2 linked regions of the Mytilus edulis genome follow. The protein of the gene in region 1 purifies or fractionates together with the protein of each later gene. This does not show direct contact. Links are inferred from orthologs where the notes say so. Each region holds a gene or a part of one and is shown in the gene's direction. Other genes may lie near its edges.

Evidence for each region.
Region 2: the proteins of cyclin-H-like (region 1) and general transcription and DNA repair factor IIH helicase subunit XPD-like purify together in Homo sapiens (affinity purification with mass spectrometry; 3 studies listed by BioGRID and IntAct, counting the BioPlex papers as one, with this or other methods). This does not show direct contact. The link is inferred for Mytilus edulis from reciprocal best matches to the Homo sapiens genes CCNH and ERCC2.

Annotation. Positions count from the first base shown.
Region 1 is NC_092345.1:45,276,595-45,284,259, reverse strand, and holds the start of cyclin-H-like, read left to right. Parts: upstream 1-4,640; 5' UTR 4,641-4,835; exon of another isoform or gene 4,836-5,015; intron 5,016-7,665. UniProt on the Homo sapiens protein: Regulates CDK7, the catalytic subunit of the CDK-activating kinase (CAK) enzymatic complex. CAK activates the cyclin-associated kinases CDK1, CDK2, CDK4 and CDK6 by threonine phosphorylation.
Region 2 is NC_092346.1:11,156,567-11,164,824, forward strand, and holds the start of general transcription and DNA repair factor IIH helicase subunit XPD-like, read left to right. Parts: upstream 1-5,081; 5' UTR 5,082-5,160; coding exon 5,161-5,165; exon of another isoform or gene 5,166-5,283; intron 5,284-8,258. UniProt on the Homo sapiens protein: ATP-dependent 5'-3' DNA helicase. Component of the general transcription and DNA repair factor IIH (TFIIH) core complex, not absolutely essential for minimal transcription in vitro.

The DNA of each region.
Region 1 (7,665 bases):
AAGGCAGAGACCCAGTTTAAAGTTTCATTTTGGATACCGTAATAGTGTAATTTATAGAGTTATCTTTCATGAGGAACTTTGTCAAAGGTTTTGACAAAGTCCATTATAATTAAGTCTATTTGAGTGTTGTTGTTATCATTTGCTGCAAGTTCTTGGATGAATGAAATGAGTTGAGTTTCGCAAGATCTAGACTGACGGAAGCCATGCTGGATGTCATACAGTATATTGTTCGTTTCAAGATGGTTGATGATTTGTTTAGTGATGATATGCTCCATAAGTTTACAGAAAATACATGTCAATGATATAGGACGGTAATTTTCTGGTTTATATTTTCCCCCTTTTTTAAGTACTGGTGCTACGTTGGCGTGTTTCCAGTCTGATGGTATAAAGCAAGTTTCAAGTGATGTTTTGAAGATAAGTGTAAGAATTGGAGCTGTTTGGTCATTGAGTTCTTTAAGTATTCTGCCTCTGATATTGTCTGGGCCGGTTGCCTTTTGTGGGTTTATAGTGTGTAGGAGTTTCTTGACACCAGGTTAAGATATTTCGAGTGGTGTTATCACAGGATGTGAAAGGAAAAGAGGGACGAAAGATACCAAATGGACAGTCAAACTCATAAATCTAAAACAAACTGACAACGACATGGCTAAAAATGAAAAAGACAAACAGAAAAAACAATAGTACACATGACACAACATAGAAAACTAAAGAATAAACAACACGAACCCCACCAAAAACTAGGGGTGATCTCAGGTGCTCCGGAAGGGTAAGCAGATCCTGCTCCACATGTGGCACCCGTCGTGTTGCTTATGTGATTACAAATCCGGTAAATAGTCTAATTCGGTAGGTCACATTCATGAAAGGGAAGGGGATTGTAGCTACGACGTAAAGAACATATCCGATATCATTTGTGAACCGGTTATTCCATAACGGTCAACCAACTCGTGATGGCGTCCGTAAAATTTACGAAGGGATGATTTCAACTTCACCATTTGGAACTCTTGGTTTAATAGCTTTCTTGTGAGCAGTAACCCTCTATCAAGAAAATCATGATAGGAAATGCAAGCACGGGAATATCGTATCAATTGGGAGATATATACCCCGTATGCAGGTGCTGCTTGAATGTGGCTACTTAGAAATGGAAAGTTCACAATTGGAAAGTTGAAATCATCTCTTTTGTCGTAAAGTTTTGTTTTCAACCGACCCTCATTGTCAATTTCTAGATGTAAGTCAAGATATGAAGCCGACTTAACTGTATCTGTAGTATCCTTTATCTCCAATTCGATGAGATAGATGCGTTCCACATAGTCACCAACTTTTGAATTGTTTAGTGAAAGAACGTCATCTAAATAGCGGAAAGTAGAGTTAAAGGATATTGCTAACTTCTTATCTTTCTTCCTAAGAAGTTCCTGCATGAAGTCAGCCTCATAATAATAAAGAAACAAGTCGGCAAGTAGAGGGGCACAGTTTGTTCCCATTGGGATGCCGACAGTCTGTTGAAAAATACGTCCTCCGAACGTTACAAACATGTTGTCAATCAAGAAATCAAGCATCTTGATAATATCGGTTTCAGAGAATTTTATTGTTTGAATCAGAGTGATTCTTTACAAAGTATGATTTATCCCTCCCTAAGACAAGATACTTGTATCTACGTTGGCCATTCTTTTTTATGAAGCAAAGTAATACCAAATCTTTCAATTTGTCTTTTAGTTTGGAATGTGGAATACTTGTGTAAAGAGTAGAAAAGTCAAATGTTTTAATACTGTTACAAGATGAAAGAGAGTTAGATTGTATGTACTCTAAAAGATCTTTGGAATTTTTAAGTATCCACATCTGATTCCCGCCACCTCTAGAATAGGCAGTTTCACAATAACTTTGAAGCTCGTCTTTGATTGCTGATAAAATAGATGTTAATAATTTAGAAAGAGGTTTCGTGGAGCACTTGGAAGACCCAGCAATATACCGTTGTTTGTAAGGACACTTATGTAGTTTAGGTATCCAATACAGTGATGGAAGATCCAGTTCTTCATCTTTGGTTGAAATACCAAAGGAACAAAGAACAGACCTATGATTATCCAGGATTTCCTCTTTGGTAATTGTCGTGAGGGTATATGTTGAGTTTCCAAGTGAATTGTCTATACCTAATTCGTTTATCAAGCAATTAATGTAGTGACTTTTACAGACAAAAACGATGTTATTTGGGGCTTTGTCTGCGGGGACAACAACATATTTATCATGGAGGTCGGATAAGTGTTTAGCAACATTTGGGTCTTTAAAGATTGACGTAGCATGGGCATTGGTGGACCCATTCAGTTTCTTGATTCTAATTTGTATTAACGACCTCACTGCCTTAATCCATTCGGATAGAGTGTCTACGTCTTCCTTTTCACGTTTAGCCCATTGCCTGGCATAATCCTCGACTGAGTCCATCAAAATTTTAAAGTTGTATTTCCAATTGATGGATTTAGGCTCACGATATTTCGGACCTTTCGATAACACATTTCGTAGAGAAGTGTTATTAGCAATGTTAAGGTCACCGGTAATAACGTGGCCAGCAGGATTATATATGAATTGGGAACTAGCACAAGTGCAATCAGGAGGTTTAGACTTGAAGTCGTCAATATCAAGATTCTGCAAAACGCGTTTGTAATTGAAAATTTTAGTTGCAATAGGTTTGGTATAGGTATAAGAAATTATTGGTACAGACTAGTCTTTGAAATAAGGAGGTATTTTCGATTGAACTAATTTATGATGAAGGATATTGCCTAGGTTGACGCCATCGAGACCTTTGTTGGCAAAGGAAAGATTTAGAAAAGATTTTTTCTCTTTTTCATCTTTTCCAATGCGAACTGGCTTGAAAAGTCTGTGACTTGCAATATCCGAAATTATAGCTTGAAGTTTGTATTGGTTTGAATGAGGGTTTGTAACAGTGGATTCCAAACATAAATTGAACAGAGAATGAAGTTTTGAAAGGGGTAATGAATAAAGTTTCGTGCGAATGTGATGAATACCTAACGGCTTTTGTATGAATGACAGCAAGTCATTAATAGAGACATCATGCAGGGAAGGTGATGTATAATGACGATGACCATGACTGCGTCTACGTCGAGGAGTCGAGTTGAAAATATTCATCACATTCACCGAGTTACACGAAGGACTAGATAGAATACCTATACCATCAATTTTGTCATTGCAGCCATACGGTGTTGCAGTTCCCAATTGTCTAATCCAGTAGTCTTCTTTTTGTCTACGGAGAGTCGTTGAAATATTAGGATTGTTAGAGCTATGGTATATCTTTTCGATAATGCGAACTGTCATAGAAACGATGGAATGATCGGGCTGATTGAAATGCTGGTATAGAATGTCGTTAGCATTGAGGTTAATGTCTGATCTATGACCGCACATACGTTTGTTTAGCCTTCCTTTCGTTTCACCGACGTATACCAATCCGCAAAGGTTGCACAAAGGTGTGAGCTAGGACCTTTGTCTGGAATGGTGTTATTTGATTCAGTTGTAAACACTGATTGGAATTGTGTGTTGAGGATGTCTGCCTTTTGCTTTGTATCATCTATTAACTGTCCTTTTTTTAGTGGTGCGACACCGTTGTTATCTGTGCTCAGTGATTTAATAAAGGAAAATAGCTTTTTAGGTTTAGATTGATTGTTGCACTGTTGGTCTGGTTCATTTATGGGTAGGTCTAATATCATTTTTTCAATATAACCCCAGTATGCAGTTCTTTGTTCTTTTTGTACTTGTTTTCTCAGACGTCGGTACTTTTCAGCATACCTGGTGTCTTGTTTCATTTTATGATATAGCTTGTTTTTTTCTATTTATCATTTTCCTTAAATTGTTGTGAATCCAAGGTAGTCTATTTTTGTATGTTAGGAACTTATGAGGAATGTTGTTTTCCACCGATTTTGTAAGGTTTGTTTTAAATGTGTCAACTTCCACATGTCATTTACATTTGTTTTGTCCTCTAGGTTTAGTAGATCTTTGTATGTTTTTTCTAGATCTGATTTGATGTTACTCCAGTTAGATTTGTTGTATTTCAATATTTTTCTAGGTTTTTCTCTCACCCTGCGCAACCAAATGTCAGATTCTACATAAACAATGTCGTGGTCACTAAGGCCTATTGGTGGTAGTGTACTAACCTTGTTAATGTTGGATGGATTATTGACTAGTACTAAATCTAAAAAAAAATCTTTCCGTGTTGTTATGTTCACTATAATTTGATGAAAGTTTCTATCGATAATTTTTATAGCACTCTACTGTGCTGAGAAAGGAAATCATCAGTCAGTGAGATCAAAGCAACATTTCGTAAATTAGCTACAAATACATTTCTAACGACAAAACATATCATTTATCTATATGTTTAACTTAACAAATATTTTCGGTTATCAATAAAAAGCGCAAGGAAATACCTGAGGCAACATATATAACATCGCTATAACCTCTCAGTGTTATCAGTGAGGGCTCAGCCAATGCAAAAATATCTTGATACATTAAGTATTTATACGTTTTCCTAAAATTCAAATCATATACTGAAAGAGTTGTTCATGAATAATATCGCTAAGCCGCGCGCGATCTCTACCAGGAACGGTCGAAAATTACGTCATCGATCAATCAGTTTAAACTGAGACGTAATAGCAGACGAAGCATTGTACCATATAGGAAATTTAAGGGAAGTTGCACGAATTCGGAAGTTGTGTGTTACGGATATTTTCATGAAAAGATACAGATAAATGCCATATATAGTACAATCCACTTCAATCAGTGAATATTCTACGACGATCGAGCATTTGTATATTTACAAAGCCTTGTGACGACACAGTATAGCGGTACGGCAAAATAATGTGCTCCTCTTAACGGAGGAAGTTAGAGGTTTCTATTTGGACACAGGTCAAAGCGTTCTGTTAGTTTCTTTCCCCTGTCCACAATAAACGCATACTTTTTTTCAAAATAAATAATTTTTCGAGGTTTATGTGAAAGGTATGCAGAAAACTGGACAGTCTTTACAGGTAAGTTTACAGATGAAAAGAATAATGCTACAGTACCCAATATTCACCCAATGTGAAAGCAACGTAAATCTAGATTTTCAACTCTTTTTTTCCGTCGTCTTCTCTCATTCTCCGTCTACAAGTCTAGTGTACTTATAACATTCTTTTAAAGAATCCAGTCCTTAGCATGGAAGAAGAAAAAGAAGAAGAAATTATCATGATTATGTCCAAGAGAGGATTATCTACAATAGAGATTACCCTGTCATCACGACAAAGATTGAAGATTATGTCTCAAAATGCATAAAAAACACACCGAACAAATATGACTAATATTATCCTAAGATGATACTTTCCATTGACCTAAGTGCTATTTGTCTGCCATTACTGGAAGTCACAACAGATGTACCCATTCCAGTTTAAATTTTGGTCTGGGGACAGAGATGTGTGTGGGAGGGTAAAAATCACCCTTCTGATGTACTGACAGGGGCGTAGCTAGCTATTCATTCAACTGTAGTCACAAATCGGCAGGGGGTCTGGAGGCCACTTATGAATTATGGGTAATAAGTAGCATTTAACCATTGGTTAAGTAACTTATCCAGTGGCTTACTAACCATGCTAACCAGACTCCCATTTAACCATGGAGCAATGGAAAAATAGCCAACGGATAGTAAGCCACTGGATAACATAATTAGCCGTTGGATAAGCTAACCAATGGTTAAATTTAGCCATAGATTTGAGCAACCCAGTCCAGGTAGGGGGTTCAGGGGGGGGCGAAACCCCCTGACTGAAAATGGTTTTCAGCGTTTTAGCTGCAAAATTTTATGTACTAAAATATTAAATTTACTGGTTATTTAATCATGATAATTATAAAATACATGATGAAAATTTCGTAGAATTATGAATAATGTACCATAACATCTGACTGGTGAAAATTTTTAAATAACACAGTACAATCCGTAATATAAAGAAAAATATTTACAATATGCATTGCCCAGCGTAGATCAGCGTATCCCTTTAATTTTAGCAGTACACCCTGTTTTGTATTATCATATCTATTCCGTTCTGATTGATATATACGTTAACTTAATTAATAGTACATATTGACGATCCTTCATTAAAAAAGATAGGCATGTAAACACTGATACTACAAATGTACTATATAATAGAACTATCCTTTTGGCTAGACATCAACCATCAATCTTTTGAATCTTAAACCTTCACCCTAAGGCCTAACAAAATTCAAATTTCTTTATATATCCTCTTCTGTAAAATCCCTACCTGCTTAGGAATTTTGAATAATTGTGGCCATTACACGCAGATTTGAGAGTACTCAAAATTACTGGAAGCCAGTTGATTGATTGATTTGTTTACATCCAGTGTCAAATATTTATGCAATTTCAGGACCGTTGAATTTTCTTTTTGCAATAAATACAACTTGGAGCTAGGTCCTGTAATAGGTGTCATCCAGGACGAAGGTCTGGAAATTTAAAAATACCATGCATTGGAAAATGAGGGATTATTGGATAGGAGCAGAAGTTTTGCCTTTCAGTAGACCAACTACGAACTCCTTAAATAGTTGCATTCTCTCTACAACTAGGCATCTGATTTAATGTTCCCATTCTGACCAGATGTGACTGCGTATTTATACATCCTGCACACCCAAACAGATGACCAACATTGGCATTTCGGGTGAAGACAATGTGGTAAACTATTTGAAAACTGACAACAACTAATTAAAAAACTCATGTGTCTAAGTTAAGGTTCATTCAAGTTTTTGTTGATAGAAGTGAAATGATCTGAGCAAAGTTATAGTTTTAACATGTTTAATATAGTTTTTATATAATGTAAAATCGTAAAAACATTAAATTCTATCTCATATTCCATTCACTCAAGGAGGAGAGACTAGTGTACACATGACATTGGATAATTTAAGAGTTTTGACAACTTCACCAGCTTTCATCTACAGATAATGTTGTTTATTATTTTTTTTTGATAAAAAAATATAAATGTGAAAAAATTATGTGTAGGCACGTGCCTAAAGTGCCTAACGGCAGCTACCCACCCCCCTGACTGATAGTTTGAGCTCCCAGAGTCAAAATCAAACTCAGAACCCTAAGCACAGTAGACATCTGTATATCAACCTCTTAGACCACAAACCCACACTAAAAGTGCTACAACCTTTTCATCCTCCACATACATTTGTACACCTTATCGCTATCTACTGGACATCACACAGGTTCCCGTAAAATTTTAACGTCATATAAGACATAATACAAAATATCTGAAACCACAATGGAAAAGTGATTGTTGTATGATGTCAATAGTTCAAGCAGGACAGATTCTCAGGTCCACCTGGAACAGTCAGAGCTCAGACATAAATAAGTCTGAATCTGCTTTTGACTCATAGAGGTCTAAATTTGTAAGTTTTAGGATTAGTCTCCCCTTAATGCAAGACAAAATATGACTTTAATAAGTCAAATCTTGTTAAGCAAGAAATAATTGACCACAATCAAAAAGTTGCATATATCGACTCCTACAAGTCGATAAGTGATCAAAATTGGTTAACTTCAAGACCCACGCATATTTATAAGGAGGTCATGCATCTAAATCAAATAATGACAACATTGAAAGACAATGCTTTGTCTTCTAAAGAAAAATATGAATGAGAGAC
Region 2 (8,258 bases), on another chromosome or scaffold:
AAAATGTTTGTTTGTTATTCCTTTCATGGCCCCTACAACAAAGACAAATAAAAAATTCAAACCTTCCTATATTGTGGTATGGAACTTTGTCGGCTAAAATTTCTTAGAGATCAATACACTTATACTCATGTTATTGTCTGCAAAACAAAATGTCTTCCAACGACGACACAGACATAGACAATAATATAGTGCATTGCCCTGACATATCAACGATATAAGGATGCAGCTTAGAAACGGGGAAATGCGATGCTCTGCCGAGCTATTTCCCCGTTTCGGGCCGAATCCTTATATCGTTGATATTTCTAGCAAAATTTCAAAGAGATCCATACACTTATATAGACAATAATAGTGCATTGACTTGACATACCAACGATATAAGGATGAGGCTTAGAAACGGGGAAATGCGATGCTCTGCCGAGCTATTTCCCCGTTTCGGGCCGAATCCTTATATCGTTGATGTTTCTAGCCAATGTACTATTATTGTCTTTATACTGCAATCTAGAAAAACATTTTAATTTGTTTAATGCGTTAAGGTTATTTATTTATTTAAATATTTGGGGAAATCCCCTTTAGAAAGGCCTCATATCATGCTCGTGGAGAAATATACAACGCAATGAAATGTACATTTACCTGTTGAAACCCACACTCGATGGTGAACGAAATCGTTTGAGTATGGACTAAAATATCAACCATAAGCATAAAACATAATGATTTATAGGTTGCAAACAAAAATTATTAACAAATGAAATATGTTTTTCCAATAATTGCAAAAGAAACAAGGTTGAGTCGTTCCATGCATAGTTGTATGCATGGGAAACAAGAACAGGTTGAAGAGGTCGTATGAATAATTAAATATTATTTCGGCAACTTCTATTTAAATATTCGTGAGGAAAAGTGATAGCGGGTCAGTGACTGTATATGACATAGAAATATACAGTCAACGCATTATGACTGCTCAAATAGAACGAGTGCAGTATAAATCGTCATAATATACGAACGCAAACATTTTGCAGTCGTATAAAAATTAAGTGCGTGTCACCTTTCTGGGTTTACCTTCATCGGGAATGTTTAAATTCAAAAAGTTGAAGGGCAATAATGTATATAAGGTGTCGGTATATTTCATTTTTTTTAATTTCATCTGCGTTTTACATGAAGAGTGTGTCTTCAGAATATGATAACATCTTTCAAGCTGCGTTTCCGTTGAGTTTATGTGAAGCTGTCACGAAAACGAAATTCCTCTAATCTGCAAGTCATGATCCTGTTTAGTAGTCCTCAAATGCACTTTGTACTTGTTTGGCTTTATAATTATTTTGATCTGAGCGTGACTGATGAGTCTTGTGTAGACGAAACGCGCGTCTGCGTATTAAATTATAATCCTGGTACCTTTGATAACTATTATCTTGCTGTTTTTTTTTTCTTTTTAAAAGTGTCTATCTTTCTTTAATAGTTAGAAATTAGGCAAAAATCGTTATTATAGGGCAATAACTGATTAGACAATAAGGTGTCGACTGAAGATTTGGCCACGTTTGACTTGTTTGTAGATCTTGTCTTGCTGGTCATAATCTCTATAATTGCCGAGTTAAATAACGAACATTTTTTAAAATAGTAAAATACATCATTTGAGGGCAAGAACTCTTATAAGAAGACGTTTCACAGTTTCGACACACACGAAAATAAATGTAGCTCAACATTCTGAACATGTTTTCCCTGCTAGATTTTCATTACCTATAGCGGTTTTAAAAGTAATAGTCAAACTTATATTTGACGCCTATTTCTATTTTAAGCCATGTAGGCCATTTTGGTTGGAAGGCCATTGATCATTGGACACATTTTTTTAAACTATATACCCAAGTGATGATTGGGGTTAAGTTTATTAAATATAGTCCAATAGATTTAGAGAAGATTTCTATAAAAGTAAACAGATGACAACGGACGACGGATGAAGGACAAGACGACGATTGGGGACGGACCGTCGGTCGAAGAACGACGGGTGTCAATCGAAGATCGACGGGCGCTAAGTATTTAGAGGTGATTGATTGACCTTTTATTCCAGGTGAGTTAAAAAGGGTTTAGGATGTTTGTTCCAAGCGGAACACATATTATGGCATTGTTTATAACAAAGTTTCCAGGCGAATTTCTGTTAGACAGGAACAAATACAACTAGACATAGCTTAAACTCGACAATTAAAAAGTCATTCATAACAGCAAAGGAACAACCTGCGACAAAAGGAGCCCAGTTGGTCTTCATCAAAACGATAATAAAGCCTGGTAAAGTGTATCTCGAAAAAACTATAACAAAACATTTACTGTGCTTTTCAGGTCGTATAATCCTTTTCCAAATAAGAATTTCCCTTTTGGTAAAACTGTTTGTAGTTAGTTTCGTAGTTAGTTTTGTCTCATTGACGTTAATATATACTTCACAGTTCATTTATTTCTGTGAATACATCATATTTATAGGTAATTAAGATTTGACTTGGTTTATTTTGTGCGTTAACTAAAATGATTCACATATGATATGTATAATAAATAACAACAAAGTTTACTTACTTTTACTCATGGTAGTTAATTGTAGGACATTTGTGGAATGAGAGTTACAGGCTTAGGTAACATTGGTCACACGTAATGTGAAAGTTCTGTCATTGCCGCATGGTTATCAAATCATGTCCAGGTTAATATCACATTACCTAAAATGAGAGCATAAACTTGCATGTATATTTATTTTATTTATTATTTCAGTTTCAGCAAACAAATTTCTGTACAAATAAGTAGAGCAGTCAATGCATAGCTAAGTATAAGGTTTGAATTATATTAAAATGAGATGCGAAAGATACAGGAGGGACATTTAAACTCGTCAGTCGAAAATAAACTGACAATGCCATAGCTTAAAAAAGTAAAATATCAACAGACAAACAATAGTACACAAAACACAACACACAACATAGAAAACTAAAGACAGCAACAGGAATCCCGAAAAAAACTTTATGTGATCCCAGGTGCTCCGGAAGGGTAAATTGATCCTGTTTCACTTGTGGCTCATGTCACGGTACAAACCCGGTAATAATTCTAATTCGGTAGGTCACATTAGGGAAAAATGATACTGGAGACCACAAAGCAAACGTTATCACATCAACATTATTCAACAAGATTAAAATGAATCGTGTTGTTTGCTAACAGTGGCGCCGGGATCCAGAACTTTTTATAAAAAGGGGTCGCTGAATGACCTGGGTTGGTCCGCTCCAGTCATGATTGATTGATTGATTCCATATATAAATAATCAACCAAATTTTCCAATGAAAAGGGGCCCCAGGCCCCCAAGGGCCCTCTAGATCCGCCTTTGAATTGACTTACTTCCGCATATTTCTCGAATTAATTCAAGTAAATGGACTTTGACCCCATTTATGAACTGTTCAATAAGTCATTTTTTTTTTTAGATTATATAATACATTTAGTACCCACAGTATTCACTGTTGTTTAAAAATACATAATTTTCCAGTAATAGTCAACGTTTTTCTGTGTTGCTCCAGTCGTTCATTTTGGACGACCCACTCATGCAGTATACACAGTCAAAATTGATATGGCAAGAAATGAAACTTCATTTTTTACACTAATAAAAATCTAGAAATATATTAGTGTTACCATAGATATTACATCTATGGTGTTACCTTATCTTTGATGTCCATGCATTCCCATTCAATCATGCGTCTTAAAATTTCCGAGAAAACAATGAACTATTATCCAACCATTTCCCCCTGAAGATATAAATAGAATCGACTCAATCTTAAAATGGAATTCCCCTTCTACATAATTAAAATTATTTGCGATATATTTTTGTCAGTAACATGCAACTAATTTCATCAATTAAGGTTCATCATAACCTTTTGGCTAAAATGGCCGTATTTACACCCCAAATTTTACTCTGAGTACAGACTAACCTATACACCTGCAACAGTTTTAAGGGATGGCAGGAACTAGATATATAAATTTTAAATGCATTTTATGTTTCAGAAAATTATAAACTTTTCTAGATTTTGCTATCCATTTTTTTTCGTTCCTGCAGAAGGTGCAAAAATTAACTAAGTAGTGAAAACGATTGAGAAGCTCCCCTCATATTATCAATGTTGTGAGTAGTATTGATTTAAATTGACAATAGACACCTGTAAACAATAGGTTATTTAACAGGTTTAAACTGTGTATCTGAGTGGACCGTATCAAATGAAACTCGGGTGTTTGTTTATTTTGCTATCTTCTGCAGACTGGAAAAAAATGAACATCAAAATCCAGGTAAGTTTTTAATTTTCTGAAACGTAGACTTCATATAACTTTTATATATCTAGTTCCTGCCATGCCTTAAAACTTTCCTGGATGTACCAGTTTGTCTGTACTCATAGTAATTTTGGAAGTGTAAACACGGCCATATTTTTCAATTCCTTATGATGAACCTTAAACGAGTTCATTAAACACAACGAAAAGTACTACAGACCACAGCCGGATGCAACAAATGCCACAACGCGGACGTCGCTGACAACACTCTATGACCGCAGCAGCCTTATATTGTTAACAAAGGATGTATTTTGTGTGAGTTCGTGGTCTAGTGGTTAAGACCGATGGCTACAGTGCTGAAGGTCCCGAGTTCGATTCTCACTCGGGGTGCTAAAAATCTCAGTACATTAGAAGGGTAATTTTCACCCTCTCACACACATCTCTGGTACCCAGACCGGAGTTTAAACTAGAATGGGTACGTTGGGGGCCTCGGTTGGTCAAAGTGTCCCTACTTTGACCTGGAGATCAATCTTCTGATATCTCTCTGGTTTGTCTGTTTCCACCGAGTGGCCCGGTGGTTCTCTCCGAGTACTTCGGCTTCCTCCACCACAATAACAGACTTCCCGGTGTCCTAGCACTCCCTTTGTGTTGAATTGGGTGGGGATTGGTTGTCCTTGTAAAAATAATTGTCGTATAAATATACGTTAGTGACACATCTCCATTAATCCCGTTAGGGAGTGTACATGGATGCCACTGTACCCTCGCAGCTTTCGAGGGGTTCTTCGGATATCGGAGGCATTTACCAGTACATACATACATAGGTAGTTATTTAGATCCGAAAACTACTTCCGGTGAAAACAAATCGGCATGATCAGCAACATTTGTTTAAAAAGTTGAATCATGAAGTAATGCTTTACGTCTTAATTATCAAAATCCTACTTGTTAGAAAAATACCATAATAGATTAAGTATAGATGAAGAATGAAGTGTAAAATTAAAAAAAACTCAAATAGGGAGAACTAGAGTAGCAAAAATAATTTATCAGCATCAGCTAGGACTATTTATAATTTTATACTAACGGGACTGGAAACTGATCAATCTGTTAAGATTTAAATGCCCCGAAAAGCGGGATTACTGATTTTTTGTTTTGATGACAGCTTATCGTGTCACGTAGTAAATTAGCATTTGGAACAAGTAAACAAGTCAGCCGATAGAAAACTATTAAAATTGGGGGATTCGAAATAAAGAATAATTATTAAATTAATTAGTTTATATGCAAAATAATCGATATTGTTTACGAAAAAATATTAATAAATTGTCAATATGTAAGTGTTGCCAGAAATAGTTGAAAATTAAAGTGGCCGACAATTTACTTGACCACTAAGAAAACAATGTGTCAAAGGTTAACAGATACATGTAATAAGGGCTATTTAAAAAAAAAATGATGCCTTTGTCAGATTATATAATCCTGATAAAAACAATTAGTGTGCAATAAAAACAATGTTGACAATTTCAGTTCCTAATTAATTCATATAACAAAATTAAAGCTATCCGGGTCTCATGAAAACATAGCCACATTGTTTTGAACTTTTTTGAACTTCGTGTTTATGTAAGTGATAAATTTGTCCTGGTAAAAAATGTCTGGGCGGACAAACATTACTACATGTAGTATAAAAAGTCCATGGTTACAGAATTTACTAGTATATTTAGTCCGATGTTAGTAATATATGTCCCCAGACTAATTTTCCTAGGTAATCATGTCCTTTAAAATCATATAATAAGTTCAATTACATGTACATTCAAACCATGGAAATTTAAAATGTTATGTTTTAGGCCACACCAATTTAATTTCTTGTTCTACGGATTTTTGGACTCCAAAATTTGGGGTGAGCGAGCGATTTGAAAATTTTAATAAAAAAATATTTAATTTGCAAATTTTTGAGGCGAAGCTTGAAAAGTAAAGGCGAGCGATTATAATTTTTTTTTGTAAACATAAAATAATAGGTTTTGACAATATTAAAACTTGATTTATCACTTGTACTTTGACATTTCTTTAATTTCTGAAGTATTTTTTCCCTGTTCACCAAGAAATAATTAAATCTGGTCTATGTATGTGTGACTGACAATGAGACAATTCTCCATCCGAATCATAATCAGTTTTGGGGCAACCCCTTAATGTTATAAATATCCCTTTTACATGTTTTATGAGGGATCAATATAAGTTATAATATATTTGTTTGTACAAAAGGGCTCATATTTTCTAATAGAAATATATATCTATCTGGTATTAAATGGTCAAAACATGTCCAAGAATTTAGAAATATTCCTGGACTTTAACCATGTTAACACATTTACTTTAACAGTTTAATATTATTCAAAATTAGTGGACCCCTCTTTTAGAAAAAATGTTTAAAATAGGATGTAACTCTCCTCTTTTTGAGTACAAAATTCTAAGTGTTCAAAGGTTTTGTATAGAAGAACTATTTTCTTTTCTACATCAGTAAAATGACCCCTTGTCTGAGGGAGGGTTGTTCTCAACCTGATAATAACAAACACAGGTCAAAGTACGGCCTTTTACACAGGGCTTTGATAAAGACCAAACAGCAAGCTATAAAGGACCCCAAAATTATTAGCGTACACAATTCGAACAGGAAAACCAACGATCTAATTTATATAATACCAATGAACAACATCAACAAACGATAACTGCTGAACGCCATGCTCCTGAATCAATCAGGACAGGTGCATAAACATGCAGCGACTATGGATAGTTTTGTTTCGCCAGCATACAATATAATTACAGTTGAAGGCAAATCCTTCAGAAGTTCTTTGTACTTTATTCTAACAACGAACATTTTTTTGATAGGGAATATAAGTAAGGGGGAAAGAAACCAATTTTTTGTTCTTCACGGAAATACCCGCTGTTATAACTTTTTATCGGAGCACTCCAGGTTTCATGCTGAAACAAATATTCTCACAGATATTTACACAGTGTGGTGGGGTGCTTTTATGTTTAAAATCGTTATATACAGGTTAGACTCACTGTGATTTAACAAATGTTGATATCTTTTTATAATATTTACAACAACAAAAAACGGTGCGGGAAATGGACATGATTACAATTCCGGATGCGGGAAGCGGGAATATAAAAAAAATAAAAAAATTCTGTTTTGAAAAAAATAGGTGCGGGCGGGTCCGTCAAACAAGGGATCGAATTGGTGTGGCCTTAGTAATGTTTAAGAGTTGCATAGTTATATTTTTGATAAAATTCATGTCCCCAGACTAATTTTCCAAGAAAATCATGTCCATGTCCTTAATACATGTAGTCTTAAGTTAAAATGTCCATGCCCTTAATTTTAAAAGGTGAATATGAATGTAATATGTTTTAATATTGCTAAAGACAAAATGAAAAAGTTGTGTATCAATCTGTTCAATAAAATTTGTCTCCAGACTAATTTTCCTAGGAAATCATGTCCATGTCATTAATAGTTCTAGGTTAAAATGTCCATGCCCTTAATTTTAAAAGGTGAATATAAATGTAATACATTGTATGTTTTAATATTGTTAAAGAGTTGTGTATCAATTTTTTAAATAAAATTTATGTAAAAATAAGGAAATTTTCCAATCTTATCTAACATTTTTTTCATCTATTTTAAATATATTTTTATATGATATAATAAAACTATAAGAAAAACAAGTCTTCGGACAATTGCCAGACATAATTTACTAGCTATGGACTTATTTTCCTAGGAACATTTGTCCTAGGACTTATATTCCTAGTAAAATCATGGACATGGACTTGATTAACTAGGAAAAAAAGTCTGTGGGACAAATTTTACTACCGGACCAAATTTACTGTTACATCAGTAAAAAAGAAATCAAATAAAAAAATTCTTATTTATGGTTCATCATTTTCATCAGGTTGGGGATTTTCTCCCAAATGTTGTATAATGTACCATTTGGGATATAAAACCCCAAATAGGATAATTTTTGTTTTGC